Ovis aries: one gene and its partners. The protein of the gene in region 3 purifies or fractionates together with the protein of the main gene of each other region. This does not show direct contact. Links are inferred from orthologs where the notes say so. Each region holds a gene or a part of one and is shown on either strand. Other genes may lie near its edges. The genes, in order: NFKB1, UBAC1 and RNF123.

Region 1 (3,644 bases), on a different chromosome or scaffold from region 3:
TTTCGTCTCATGTTCAGCAGTTACTTACTGAAGTTCAGGCCAACCATGCCGTGCATCCTGGCTTCAGAAACTCAGATGGGAAGGATTCTGGTCTGAGTTCAGAATGGGCAACACGCTTTGTGAATTCTGAGTTTCTCTCATCTAACTCTGATCTGATTAGGCATACGCTTTTATGTTCAGAACTCTGCTGACCTAGATCTTTAGCGGATAGGCTTTTCAAGATAAATACAGCTCGTGACAAGCAGCCTGTCTTTTAAAAATACCAGGTGCGGGCTTTGGGGAATAAAGACTGAGGAAGACCACTTGCCGCCTCCGAGGCAGCCAACACGCTGGTGGAGCGGGGCTCACCTGCCAGCTGGAGGCCATGTCCAGAGGAGTGGTTCCTGGTACGACCCCTTCATCCTCTCCATCCTCATCCCAGGAGTCATCCAGGTCGTACAGAGGCTCGAAGTTCTCCACCAGGGGATCTGCTCCTGTGGAGCCAAGTCACACAGCATTAGGTAAAACCCACATCTTCTCGGCTCCTCACTTCCCACAGGGGTCAGATTCTATGAATATATAAAATACATTTCCACTAAAATATCCAGAAACCTGCCTTTAAATTCTAATATATCTTGACTGTAAAGGTGACCAATGATAGCTCTGTATAGCCACGGATACTGTCAAAAACACAGACTTGGACTGACGCTCACATTTGACCCCATAGGATAGTTGTGAGCGATGCACCTTTAACCTGAGGACTGAGGACGGTGGTTTATAGGGGCTACCTGGTGGCTCAGGAGACAAGGTTCCAACCCTGGGTCGGGAAGACCCCCTGGAGAAGAAATGGCAGCCAACTCCAGTGTTCTTGCCTGGGAAATCCCACGGACAGAGGAGCCTGGTGGGTTACAGTCCGTGAGGTCACAAAGAGTTGGACATGACTTAGCGACTAAACAACAAGGGCACACCCTTAGGCTTAAGGCCCCATGTGTTCAACTTGATGCCTGGCACCTCGTGTTTCTGTGTCTTCACCTGTTTGCTCAAAAGAGCAAAGCTGCTTTCTGTCTAGTGCCAACCTGTTGTGTTTTATTCCTGGGTTATGGCACTGATCCTTAAATGCAAAGCACCAAGAAGACCTTCTGGTAGGATGTGTAGTTATTGAAAGGTCATAGCTTCTAGTCTGAAGGCATTTTATTATCATAACCAGTGACTCCCCAAACTAACCATAAACACTACAATCACCGTCTCTTGTTCATGGGAATGTTCAGCTTGATGAAGGAGAAAAGAGAAGGCTGCTTATTTGGGATATGATGTCAGAAAAATACGGTGCCAAAGAAAAGGTTCTTATATTTTTCCTAGTCTCAGTTGTGTTTTTTTTAAAGAAGGTATTTAATCTGCTATTTTCTTGAATTGGTGAGGCATTTATTTTCTAAAAACAATAACCTTGTAAGTAAATCAAATATGCCAGGACAGGCTTGAGATACCAATTACAATTAAACATTTTTGAGGTTCTAAATGTAGAAGGCAGTGGAGATTCAAAGATGAGCAGGAATAATTTTCCTTTATCTCACAGGATGAAAGGGTTGAATTGGAATAACACTCTACATCCTTGAGCCAAGCAGGGGAGAGAAACAGAGAGAGAAGAGTCTGGAAGTTCAAGGTGACAAGATGTGACTCAAGCTCTGCCCCTTACTGGGGTCCAGGAACTGGGATGCAAAAGTCTCACCAGTCTGTTTCCTTGGCTATAAAATGGGAATAGTAATGGGATGTGTCTCAAAGGGTCACTGCAGATTAAGTAAGATTAAATGAGACAGTGTGAAATACCTAGCCCAACAGAAGCTAGCAGTTTTTAGGGTTTGGTACATGACAGCACTTGACACACGGCCCATGTGTTTGTCCCTATCATTTTGGCTTCTCAGAGACCTTTCTTACAAATGGAAGTCTTCAAGTGCTTTATTATACCAATAAACGCTTCCTTCTGAGGACCTGTGATGGGACCTTAAGGTTGATACTGCTCCAAATTCTACAAGGAATTCAGTTCAACCTTAGGATCTCCTGTCATGGGACTCAACTTAATCCAAATCCAAAACAGGTGAGTAAAAACTAACATGACCATCAGCATGGCACCCAGGGTTACTAATACAAACAGAGCCTTCATGGCTGCTAAGTGGGATTTGCAGCCACTTTTATTTATTTGTGCCTTTCTGCAGCACGTCCGTAGGTTAAGGAGGCGGCCTGGCTGCTCTAGCAGTCTGGGTTTGCCTTCCTGATGACATTCTCTAGGGCTGACTACCAGGCTGCCTTACCTGCTGCTTTGAGAAGAGCCGCCAGCCTGGTGGACCCTCTCCCGGCTGCTATGTGCAGGGGTGTAGTTCCGTCATAAGTGGTGCTGTCCACGTGGGCATCACCCTAAAATCCGCCCACACAGAAAACGGTTAGCTCAAGGTCCTCTCGCCCTTCTGTCCCCACCTCCCCTGCATGCGTGGCTCTCCAGGTCATGCTACAGGCCCAGCTGTATTCTAGGCAGGCTCTGCCAGTGCAGAGATCCTCAGAGATGCCGGGCAGGGGAATACTGGAGGGCCTGAGCGGCTATTCTGAAGCCTCCAGTAGATACTACACAGGTAGAGCCGACGGTAGGGAGATGAGCTGTTAGCCAAGTTGTTCTTTGAAAAGATTTTCCCAGATACCCTTGGGAATTGAATGAGAAGGCAGGTAAGTGCATCCCTCACCTCCAGGAGCAGGCAGCCAGCCAAGGAGATGTTGTCATGCTCCACAGCCAGGTGTAGGGCCGTGCGCCCCGACTTCCGCTCCTGGGCGTTGACGTCGGCCCCCGCAGCCATCAGCAGCAGCAGACACGGCAAGCTGTTGCTCATCATGGCTACATGTATGGCATTCAGACCTACGGCCCAAGCATAGGGATGGTCACGGGGAGGCAAGGCTGTTGGGGGTCAGCATGGGTCTCTACTCCAGTCTTTATAGGTGCTGTAAGTCAGCTGTCCTGCATGTAAACCCCAGACTCCTTTTGTGTTCTAGAGACAATGAGAGCACATAAACATTCTCTGAATAAAGGATGCTTTCTACATATTGAGGGGGCTTCCCTGGTGGTAAAGAATCTGCCTGCAATGCAGGAGACCCAGGTTTGATCCCTGGGTCAGGAGAAAGGAATGATAACCCACTCCAGTATCTTGCCTAGAGAATGTGTAGCCTGGCGGGCTACAGTCCATGGGATCGCAGATAGTCAGACATGACTGAGCAGCTAATACTTTTTATACATATCCAGAATGGTGTTTGCTCAGGTCTTGCTTTTCCCTCCTACTAACTATTCCAGATCATCTTTAAAGGAATTAGCTGCAGCCAGCAATGGAAATTTCCATGAGAGACGATGAATTCCCAGTGGTTAAGGAAAGCACTTTGGGGTGCAGATCAAATAGGCACATTTATCTGGTAGCTACTTATTGTTTGGAAAGCAGACAGAGGTTACACCACGATGTGTGATTGTCTCTTACCTTCCCCGTTGGGGTGGTCAATAAGTTGTGCTGCCTTCTTGTGCTTGAGTAAAATACCGAGAATTTTATCATGTCCTTCTTTGGCAGCGAGGTGCAAAACAGAGTTACCCAAGCGGTCCAGGAGGCTCAGGTCAGCGCCCGCCCTCAGCAAGTCCTCCA
Region 2 (4,427 bases), on a different chromosome or scaffold from region 3:
CAAGCGTGAGTCACCCACACTGCGCCTGCTTATTCACGCTTTCCTTTGTTCCCAGCAGCGGTGCTGGAGTGAGCTGGGCCCTAGCAGTGGGAAAGCCAGCCCGAGCCCATGGCTGGGGCAGGACCCCAGCGAGCCCGCTTCTTCCCAGAGGACTGGAGACGGCCTTTCTTCCCCTTGACATCAGTGTCATGTGAAGACACGCCTTGGTGTGGTGCCCTGCTAGCAGGCTGCGAGCTGGTGAGCTTATCACACAGAAAACACCCAGCACGCCACAGGGGGCCACTGTCTTAAGATCGTGACCCTCCGGTTACACAAGATGACTTACTCTGCCCCGTGATATAACCACGGTGGTCCCAATCGATACAAAACCAAGAAGGGAAAGGCCACAGTGGCAATCCATTTCTACAAAAGTCACGATAATAAACCTTCACTAACAAAGCTGCTTTATTCATTTAAAAACGTATATGCATAACAGAAAGTGTAAAAAAACCCAGTAAGTTCCCAGAGGTCCTGTGATGGGAGGAAACCCAGTGTCCCCTCCGGGTAGAGGGGCAGGAGGGAGGCACAGAGAACCCCAGCTTGGGCACGCAGGACGGGGAGCCAGGCAGGAGGAGCCCTAGCTGAGCAGTGGCACCACGATCTAAGCTCAGTGCATAGGTTTCCGGGGTGATGGTCAAGCACATAACTCGAGAACCCCGTTTCCTAACTGGAAATGCCTCCTGAGGGCTCACAAGGCCGCGAACTCTGCCCCCAGGAAGGCACAGGCACAGAGGTGTGAGGACCTCCTAACAGCTCAGCTCTGAGTCCCAAAATGTATGCCAGTAGTTTTTGGTTGTGGAAGACCCCTGCTGCTCGCCCGCCACTCACCTCGGCCTGGAATAAAATCTACAGGGTGGAATAAGATCTCTGTTCAAAGCAGGATAACGCCAGAAAACATCCCAAATGATACGCCTCAGTACCGACTGGAATAAAAATATCGGCAGCATAATGTGAATAGTTAGCGTAATGAAACTGGCTCCCTCATTAACCCCAGGTGCTCCTGAAATCCTTAGCAAGCCTCCATGAATCTAAGAGTTCTTGCTTCGTTTTCCCTCCAGAACATAGCATTTTGATGGTTATGCCAATCCTTCCCATTGGTGAGTTAGACTAAGTGCCACACCAACGTACCCGCTGACCCCCCAGCCTGACTCAGCAGGTGACAGGCCACCACCGCCACGCAGCTCTCTCAACTGACAGTCTGGTTCCGTTCACAGGCATGCCCTGTCTGGTTGCGTCCTGGCTTTATTTTGCTTCCCGGATACTGGGCTTTTCACAAACTGAAGGTCTGTGGCAACCGTGTGTCCAACAAGTCCACTGGTACCATTTTTCCAGTGGCATTATTTTTTAATTAAGGTATTCCAGCCCTCAAGGGGCTCCTGTGCTGACCGGGTAGACACAGCATCTCAGAGAGGTTTGCACTGGGCAAGCAGTGAGCCTCGCGCTAATAGCCTGGACGCTCAGGGGGCTCCCAGCCTTCCCGCTGAGCGCTGTCGTGGCGGTTTTTAGTGAAATCACCCATCACTGCATCAGAAACAGAAACGGCCAAAACATCGCTGCCCAAGTGTGCGAGCCCACATCCCCCTCCTCCCTGACGTGAGACCAAGACGCTATTCACATCCAGGGTTTTCCGGAAGGGGACTCTGGCAACCAGAATGCTCTCCGGCCTGCTTGCAACAATTACACAACTCCACAGAACCAGACTCCCAAAAGGACCCGACAGCATTTTGCGGGAGTCACTAAACAATAGCTGCAAGTCTGTCCTTGGAGACCACACTAAAAGAAAGAGCCAGGGCTAGACTCTTGGTGGGCCCAGAACAAACGTGCGAGTCACTGGCATACAGGCACACTTTTTTTGTGAAATGAGCAGTAAGAGGCTGTGGCCTCCTTTGTCCTAAATTCTGACATGGAGATACTAGATCGTGCAAAGGATAGAGTTTCCTGAGGCAGCCTGAGTCACACGGACAGATGTCTTGGCCTGCCTTACAGAGTCGAGCAGCTTAAAGAGACAGACAAAGACTAGAACTCTGAGGAACCTACAAGGGGTGCTTCACGTGAACAAACTTTAGAAAACGGCCCTCTCCCCGACCTGCCCGTGTAATCCACGTAAAGGCCGAGGACAGCAAGGGGTGCATGGACCAGTTCGGCCAAGCCACACTATTTTAAGTGATTCCAGCCACGGTGAGGGGGTGCGGGGGCGCACCAGTGGCCAGAGCCAGGCGCCGGCCCCCATGCCAGCCCCAGGAAACGGCTCCAAGCAGCCGGCTCTGCAAGGTCAGGGGAAGGCGCTTCTCCCAGCGGGTCTCTCTCTACCTTCGTGGGCACTAACTCCCAGCTCCGGGAACCTCGCCGCGACAGCAAGCGCGGATGGATGGATTCTGGAACCGCAGGAGGCCCCGTTCCGGCGGCGACTTGGCCTCTCCCAGCCCGCGTCCCCGATGCGCCCCGGCCCCCCAGGCTGTCTTGAGGGAAGCTGGACCAGAAGGTAGAGGATAAAGCGCCCGGTCCGGAGCCCCACGGTCCAGTGGGCGGCGGGAGAAAGAGGGAAGCCTGGAGCCGCGGCCGGCCTTACGTGCTTGAGGCAGCGCTCCTTGAGCTTCTCCACCGAGGTGTCCTCGGTCGCCTCCTCCAGCCACTCGGCGCCGTCGAACGCGCAGACGTGCAGCCGCAGCACCTTGCCCGCAAAGATCTTCTCCTCCTGCACGAACATCTCGCCGCCGCCGCCTTCGCCCGGGCCTGGGGCCTGCGCCCGCCGCCCGGTCCCTGAAGGTCACCGGGGCGGGCGGGCCGGGGGCGGGGCCAGGCCGCCCGCGCGCTCCCTCGCTGGCCGCCGCCGCCCCGCCCCCGGCTCTCCCGTCGGCAGGCCGCCCGCCACTCGCCCCACTGCCCGCCCGCCCGAGCAGTCGCCCTCGCCCCGCCGCTGAGCCACCGGGGGCGCGCTGTCGCCGCCGCGCCGGAAGTGCGTCACAGGGCATGACCCGGAGCACGCCGGGAGATGTAGTTTTCCTGCGGCTGCCTCGCCGTCCCCGTCGCCGCCGCGCCAGAAGTGCGTCACTGGTCGCTCCCCGAGCACGCCGGGAGTTGTAGTTCTCGGGGCCGCTTCCTTCGTCCAGCACCTGCCCGCGCTGTGCTAGCCGGGGCCGCCGGCCACGCGGGAGCCGTGCATTTGCGAGTCTGTTTTGCGATGGGTCTCAGTGTAAAATGCACACTGAATCTTAAACAGCTGGCAGGAAAAGAGCACGAAAAATACCTCAACAATGTTTATATATTGACAGTGAGTTGGTGAAAGTCGCTCAGTCGTGTCCAACTCCTTGCGACCCCATGGACTATAGGGTCCATGGAATTCTCCAGGCCAGAATACTGGAGTGGGCAGCCTTTCCCTTCTCCAGGGGATCTTCCCAGCCCAGGGATGGAACTCAGGTCTCCCGCATCGCAGGAGGATTCTTTACCAGCTGAGCCACCGGGGAAGCGCTGTGTGCTGACTGCGTGTTGGAATAGAATGGGCTATATAAAATATGTTGGCACTGCTTATTTTTACTTTTTAAAGCTGTGGCTGCTAGATTTTAGGTTGTCTATGTGGCTGCTGTTGTGTTCTTTGGACTGCATTGCACTAAAGCAGAGTCTCTCTGCGTGTGGTTCCCAGACCAGCAGCACCTGGGAGCTTGTTAGAAGTGCACTTTCTCCTGCCCTGCCCCTATGCCCCCGTCAGGGACTCTGGGGTGGGGCCCAGCACTCAGGCTGCGCAGCCATAGAGGTGCCTTCAGACGGTGCGTGAGCACCGCAGGGAAGAAACATGACCCGCAGACTCAGCACACTCATTTCTGTGGGGGTAACGGATATCAGTATCCACTCTGCAGTTCAGGCTAGACCTGGAGCAAGTGACTGACCTGCACTCTCGCATCTCATCCATTCAAGGACCTTTGCTGAGCAGAGATGAATCCAACACCGTCCCTTTTCTCGGAGGCTGGTGATCTAAATGGGGAGGTGGTCCCGGCATGTCTCCCGTTTAATACACAGGTTCTGTTCCCCTGTGATCATTCTGCTCGTGTGTGAATTCCTTTTATTCAGTTTAGCATTTACCGATAGCCTCCATGAGCCAGACCCTTCTCTGGGGTCTGGTCAGGACTAGGGCTTGAGACCAAACTATCGCCCTGGGAACGGGCTTTCTCACGCAGGAACTGCCAGTGTCATCTATTGTGCAAACATGGCCTCACGAGACAGGAGACAGCGGGGGGCGGGGGGGGCAGCAGGGCTTGGGGTTAGCCCCAGGGGAGCTTATGGGACACGGCGGCATCAGGGGGCTGAGGAGGCAAAGTGGGGGACACCGGGATGGGCTGCCCGGGAAGCATGCTGGAAGGGAAGGGCCTGGCGGCGAGTGGCTGGGGCGGCAC
Region 3 (3,644 bases):
GCGCAGAGAGACGGCTCTCTGGGAACCTCTGGGCACAGCGTGCAGGGCTAGCAGGGGTTAGGGCTAAACCTGTCCCCTCCCTCTGCTGGGCCAACCACAGGCTGCCATTGTTCCCAACCCCCAACCCACCCCGAGTTCTGGAATGGCCCCCAAGCACCAGCAAGTCCACAGTCACCTGCCCTTCAGGGTGTGCTAGACAGACAGGGCGGCCCAGAGCCATCTCCACTCATGTCAAGGCCATCCTCCCCAAGAGCCTACTTCGAGCCTTGCCATTCTCCCATCCTCTGCTGCCCTTGGCGTGGCCTTGGCAGATGGCTGAGGTGGTGGGCGCCAAGTCTGGGCTGACACGCAGCAGTAACCAGAGCCCTCAGCCGCACCCGGGCTGGCCAGCCCTCCCCCAAGCAAATCAATAGTTCCGTCAGCAGCAGGACACGGATCTGCCCCCCTGCTCTCCACGGGCAGCTCAGGTCCACCCTAGAGCCAGGACCAAGGCAACTGGCAAGGACTTGCCACAAGGCCCTTGGTCTCTGGGGACCCCATTAGGCCCAAACACTGCCCACAAGGGCAGAAACACCCCGTGGGCTAAAGCGAGCCACTGTGGGGCAGGTACAGCGTGGGGGAGGTAGGCTCTGCAAGCTAGACCACCCAAGACTCTGGGCTGGGCCCAATGAAGGTCCTCGGGCTCACAGGACAGTGAATACTTTGCTCCCAATAAATGGCCCCTTCCTCCAGGCAACACCATGGACACCCTCTGGGGCCCTGGCCAGCCCCTAGTCTATGCCCCTGCCTTGACTCAGGCATCCAAGATCCAGGACCACCAGGTGGAAGTAAAGGGGCAGAGGAGATGGGAGTTGGGACACGGCTGGAGGTCAGGGAGCTGGGTCAGAGGACAACGGACAGGGTGCACTCGGTGTGTGAGCTGCCAGCACCCATGGGGCTGCAGAGATAGTCCCAGAGTGTCCTCGGATTGGAGGAAGGAGAGAATGGAAACCCTGGGGGATGGACAGGAAGTTTGGGGCCCACCACGAGCCCAGGACTGGGGCTGGAAGAAGCAGGGAAGTCTGTGAGAACCTCAGAGCAGCGGGTGAGGGCCCCCTGCCTGCCAGACCTGGGTACTCACTCTGGAGGCTGGGCAGATTGGCATCCTCAGGTTTGGTTTTTAGCAGGTGTGGCAGCCGCGTATAGCGGTACCCGAACCCACAGCCCTGGGGGTAGAGACGGCAGGAGGTCAGTGGGGCAGGGAAACCCCTCCAGCCATAGCCACTTCCCCTCCAGCCAGCCTTACCCGCCAGAGCCGAACCAGGATCCAGTTGGTCTGGGCCCAGGGCCGTTGCTCATAGGGAGCCAGGAGGTTCCTCACCATGGCGATGCGCCTGCGAGAGCAATGGGTGGTGGGCCCGGGGTGAGGCTCGTGCTGTGCAGGGCAGCATGCCTGCCCCTGCCCCCGGACCCCCACTCACTGCTCCTCAGGGATCCGCTCCACGGCCCGCAGGGAGTTGGGATAGCACACGTAGCTGGCCAGGGCCTGCATCAGTGAGTCCCGGATGTCTGCCAGGACAGGCCACACCTCACCAAGTGCCTGGCATGATCCTGGTGCCCATGTCTTACCCCCACCTGGGCGGCAATCTGTGCAGAAAATGGCCAGCCCGGGGTGCCACCCCGTGCCCATCCCCTCGAGCCGTCTGTCCAGTGCCTCACCAGTGCCCACGATGCGTGTGTCTGCGAAGTGTTTGGCAAGGATGGCGGCCAGACGGGTCAGGGTCTCCTCGTAGCCTACACGTTGGGGTGACAGGATGAGCTGGTGGGGAGTGCGGACACCAGCGGCAGGCACATCTCTTGGTGGGTGGGCTTGGGGAGCAGGCTCCAGAGCCAGCTACAAGGGCCAGTCTGGGCCCAAGCTGCCATCTGGGGACTTTTGGCAGTACGTTCATTAATGGTTGGGCAGAGACTAAGGCACAGACTCAGGAAGGGGGCTGGGCAGGCCCTGAGGCCGAGGGCAGGGCAGGGGACAGGCCAGGAGCCTAAAAGCCCACAGCCTAATCCACCCAAGCCCATCCTGGAATCCAGGGTCTGCGAGAAGCCCCTGCTCCTTGTGGCCACCAGCAGGGGCCCCGCTCCTTGCTGTGATCTGCAAGCCCACCTGCCCCTGCGTGGGATGCCACACCCCATGGTCAGTGCCAGGGCGGAGGGTGAGAGGCCGGCTGGCTCCTGGGCCACAGCAGCACCAAGAAGGAAGTGACAGTCCTGGCGGGGTGGGGCGGGGCGGGGCCCTCACGCCCTCTACTCCATCTGTCTGCTCTCCTCCTCACGCAGGGGGCAGCTGTTAGGTCTGTGGCTGCTGGTCCTAGGACAGGGCTCTCCGCCAAGTGGGACTTGTGCAGACGCTTGTGTGATGCTGTCTGAGCCCGTGTGGGATGTATGCTTCTGGGTCGTGGGGGCTCAGAACAGGGCTCCTGGGGCTCGCTTTGTGAAGGCCCGCTTTTCTGCCCCCTCCCAGCCTGAATGGCCCCATCACCTGGGAGCTCCTCCATGCTATGCACGGGGCCGAAGTAATTCTTGAGGGCGCTGTAGCTGTTGATGGCCACGCTCAGGTAGAACTCGGGCATGAAGGCAAAGAGAGAACCCGTGCGGTCGCCGTGCTCGATGGTCCGCAGGCAGACTCGAAGCAGCCAGTAAATGTCCTGCATCTTCTCCTGCGGGGGGAGGTGGGGCGGACAGGTACTGCCAGGCTGCTGTAGAGCAGGAGGCGAGGGAGTGACATGGGGTGCAGCCCAGTTGGGGGATGAGGAAAACTCTCCCAGGAGCACGACGTAAGGGCTAGACTCCAGGAAGCGGGAGAGGAGCTCAGGTAGGTGTGATCAAGCACTGCTGGGCAGGCAGGACAGGCCACCAGCCTGGCAAGGCAGCGCTACAGCCCCGGCCAGAAGCCTGTCTGCACTGTTTTAAGGTACGCAAGGCCTTAAGTGACAGGGTGCCTTGTGATCAGAAGCTGCCCAGAGCAGAAGTGGCTGCAGGGGCAAGTGGGGATGAGGCTGCGAGGAAGCTATGGCCATGGCCAAGTCCAGGACAGCAAAGGGCTGGACTGCTGGGAGTGTGGAGGCACAGAGGGGCCATGGGGGCGAGGGACTTCCCTGGTGGTCCAGTGGCTAAGACTCTGTGCTCCCAACTAAAGAGTCCACGTGCCTCAACTAAGACCCAGTGCAGCCAAACAAATTAATATTTTTAAAACTTTTAAATGTGCATCAAAGAACACAATCAACAGAGCAGTAAGACAACCCACAGAATGGGAGAAAATATTTGTCAACTGTAATGTGCTAAGGGGTTAATGGGAAATAGATGGAGAAACAGTGGAAACAGTGTCAGACTTTATTTTTTTGGGCTCCAAAATCACTGCAGATGGTGACTGCAGCCATGAAATTAAAAGACGCTTACTCCTTGGAAGAAAAGCTATGATCAACCTAGACAGCATATTCAAAAGCAGAGACATTACTTTGCCGATTAAGGTCCGTCTAGTCAAGGCTATGGTTTTTCCTGTGGTCATGTATGGATGTGAGAGTTGGATTGTGAAGAAGGCTGAGCGCTGAAGAATTGACGCTTTTGAACTGTGGTGTTGGAGAAGACTCTTGAGAGTCCCTTGGACTCCA

What was found.
Region 1: the proteins of RNF123 (region 3) and NFKB1 purify together in Homo sapiens (affinity purification with western blotting; 4 studies listed by BioGRID). This does not show direct contact. The link is inferred for Ovis aries from reciprocal best matches to the Homo sapiens genes RNF123 and NFKB1.
Region 2: the proteins of RNF123 (region 3) and UBAC1 purify together in Homo sapiens (affinity purification with mass spectrometry; 7 studies listed by BioGRID and IntAct, counting the BioPlex papers as one, with this or other methods). This does not show direct contact. The link is inferred for Ovis aries from reciprocal best matches to the Homo sapiens genes RNF123 and UBAC1.

What each region holds. Positions count from the first base shown.
Region 1 is NC_056059.1:22,544,667-22,548,310, forward strand, and holds part of NFKB1 (nuclear factor NF-kappa-B p105 subunit), read right to left. Parts: coding exon 3,486-3,644; exon of another isoform or gene 2,879-3,485; coding exon 2,709-2,878; exon of another isoform or gene 2,389-2,708; coding exon 2,286-2,388; exon of another isoform or gene 1,553-2,285; intron 501-1,552; exon of another isoform or gene 474-500; coding exon 349-473; exon of another isoform or gene 267-348; intron 1-266.
Region 2 is NC_056056.1:3,450,561-3,454,987, reverse strand, and holds the start of UBAC1 (ubiquitin-associated domain-containing protein 1), read right to left. Parts: upstream 2,802-4,427; 5' UTR 2,747-2,801; coding exon 2,609-2,746; intron 1-2,608.
Region 3 is NC_056072.1:50,536,657-50,540,300, forward strand, and holds part of RNF123 (E3 ubiquitin-protein ligase RNF123), read right to left. Parts: intron 2,694-3,644; coding exon 2,516-2,693; intron 1,774-2,515; coding exon 1,699-1,773; intron 1,549-1,698; coding exon 1,461-1,548; intron 1,374-1,460; coding exon 1,286-1,373; intron 1,206-1,285; coding exon 1,121-1,205; intron 1-1,120. UniProt on the Homo sapiens protein: Catalytic subunit of the KPC complex that acts as E3 ubiquitin-protein ligase. Promotes the ubiquitination and proteasome-mediated degradation of CDKN1B which is the cyclin-dependent kinase inhibitor at the G0-G1 transition of the cell cycle.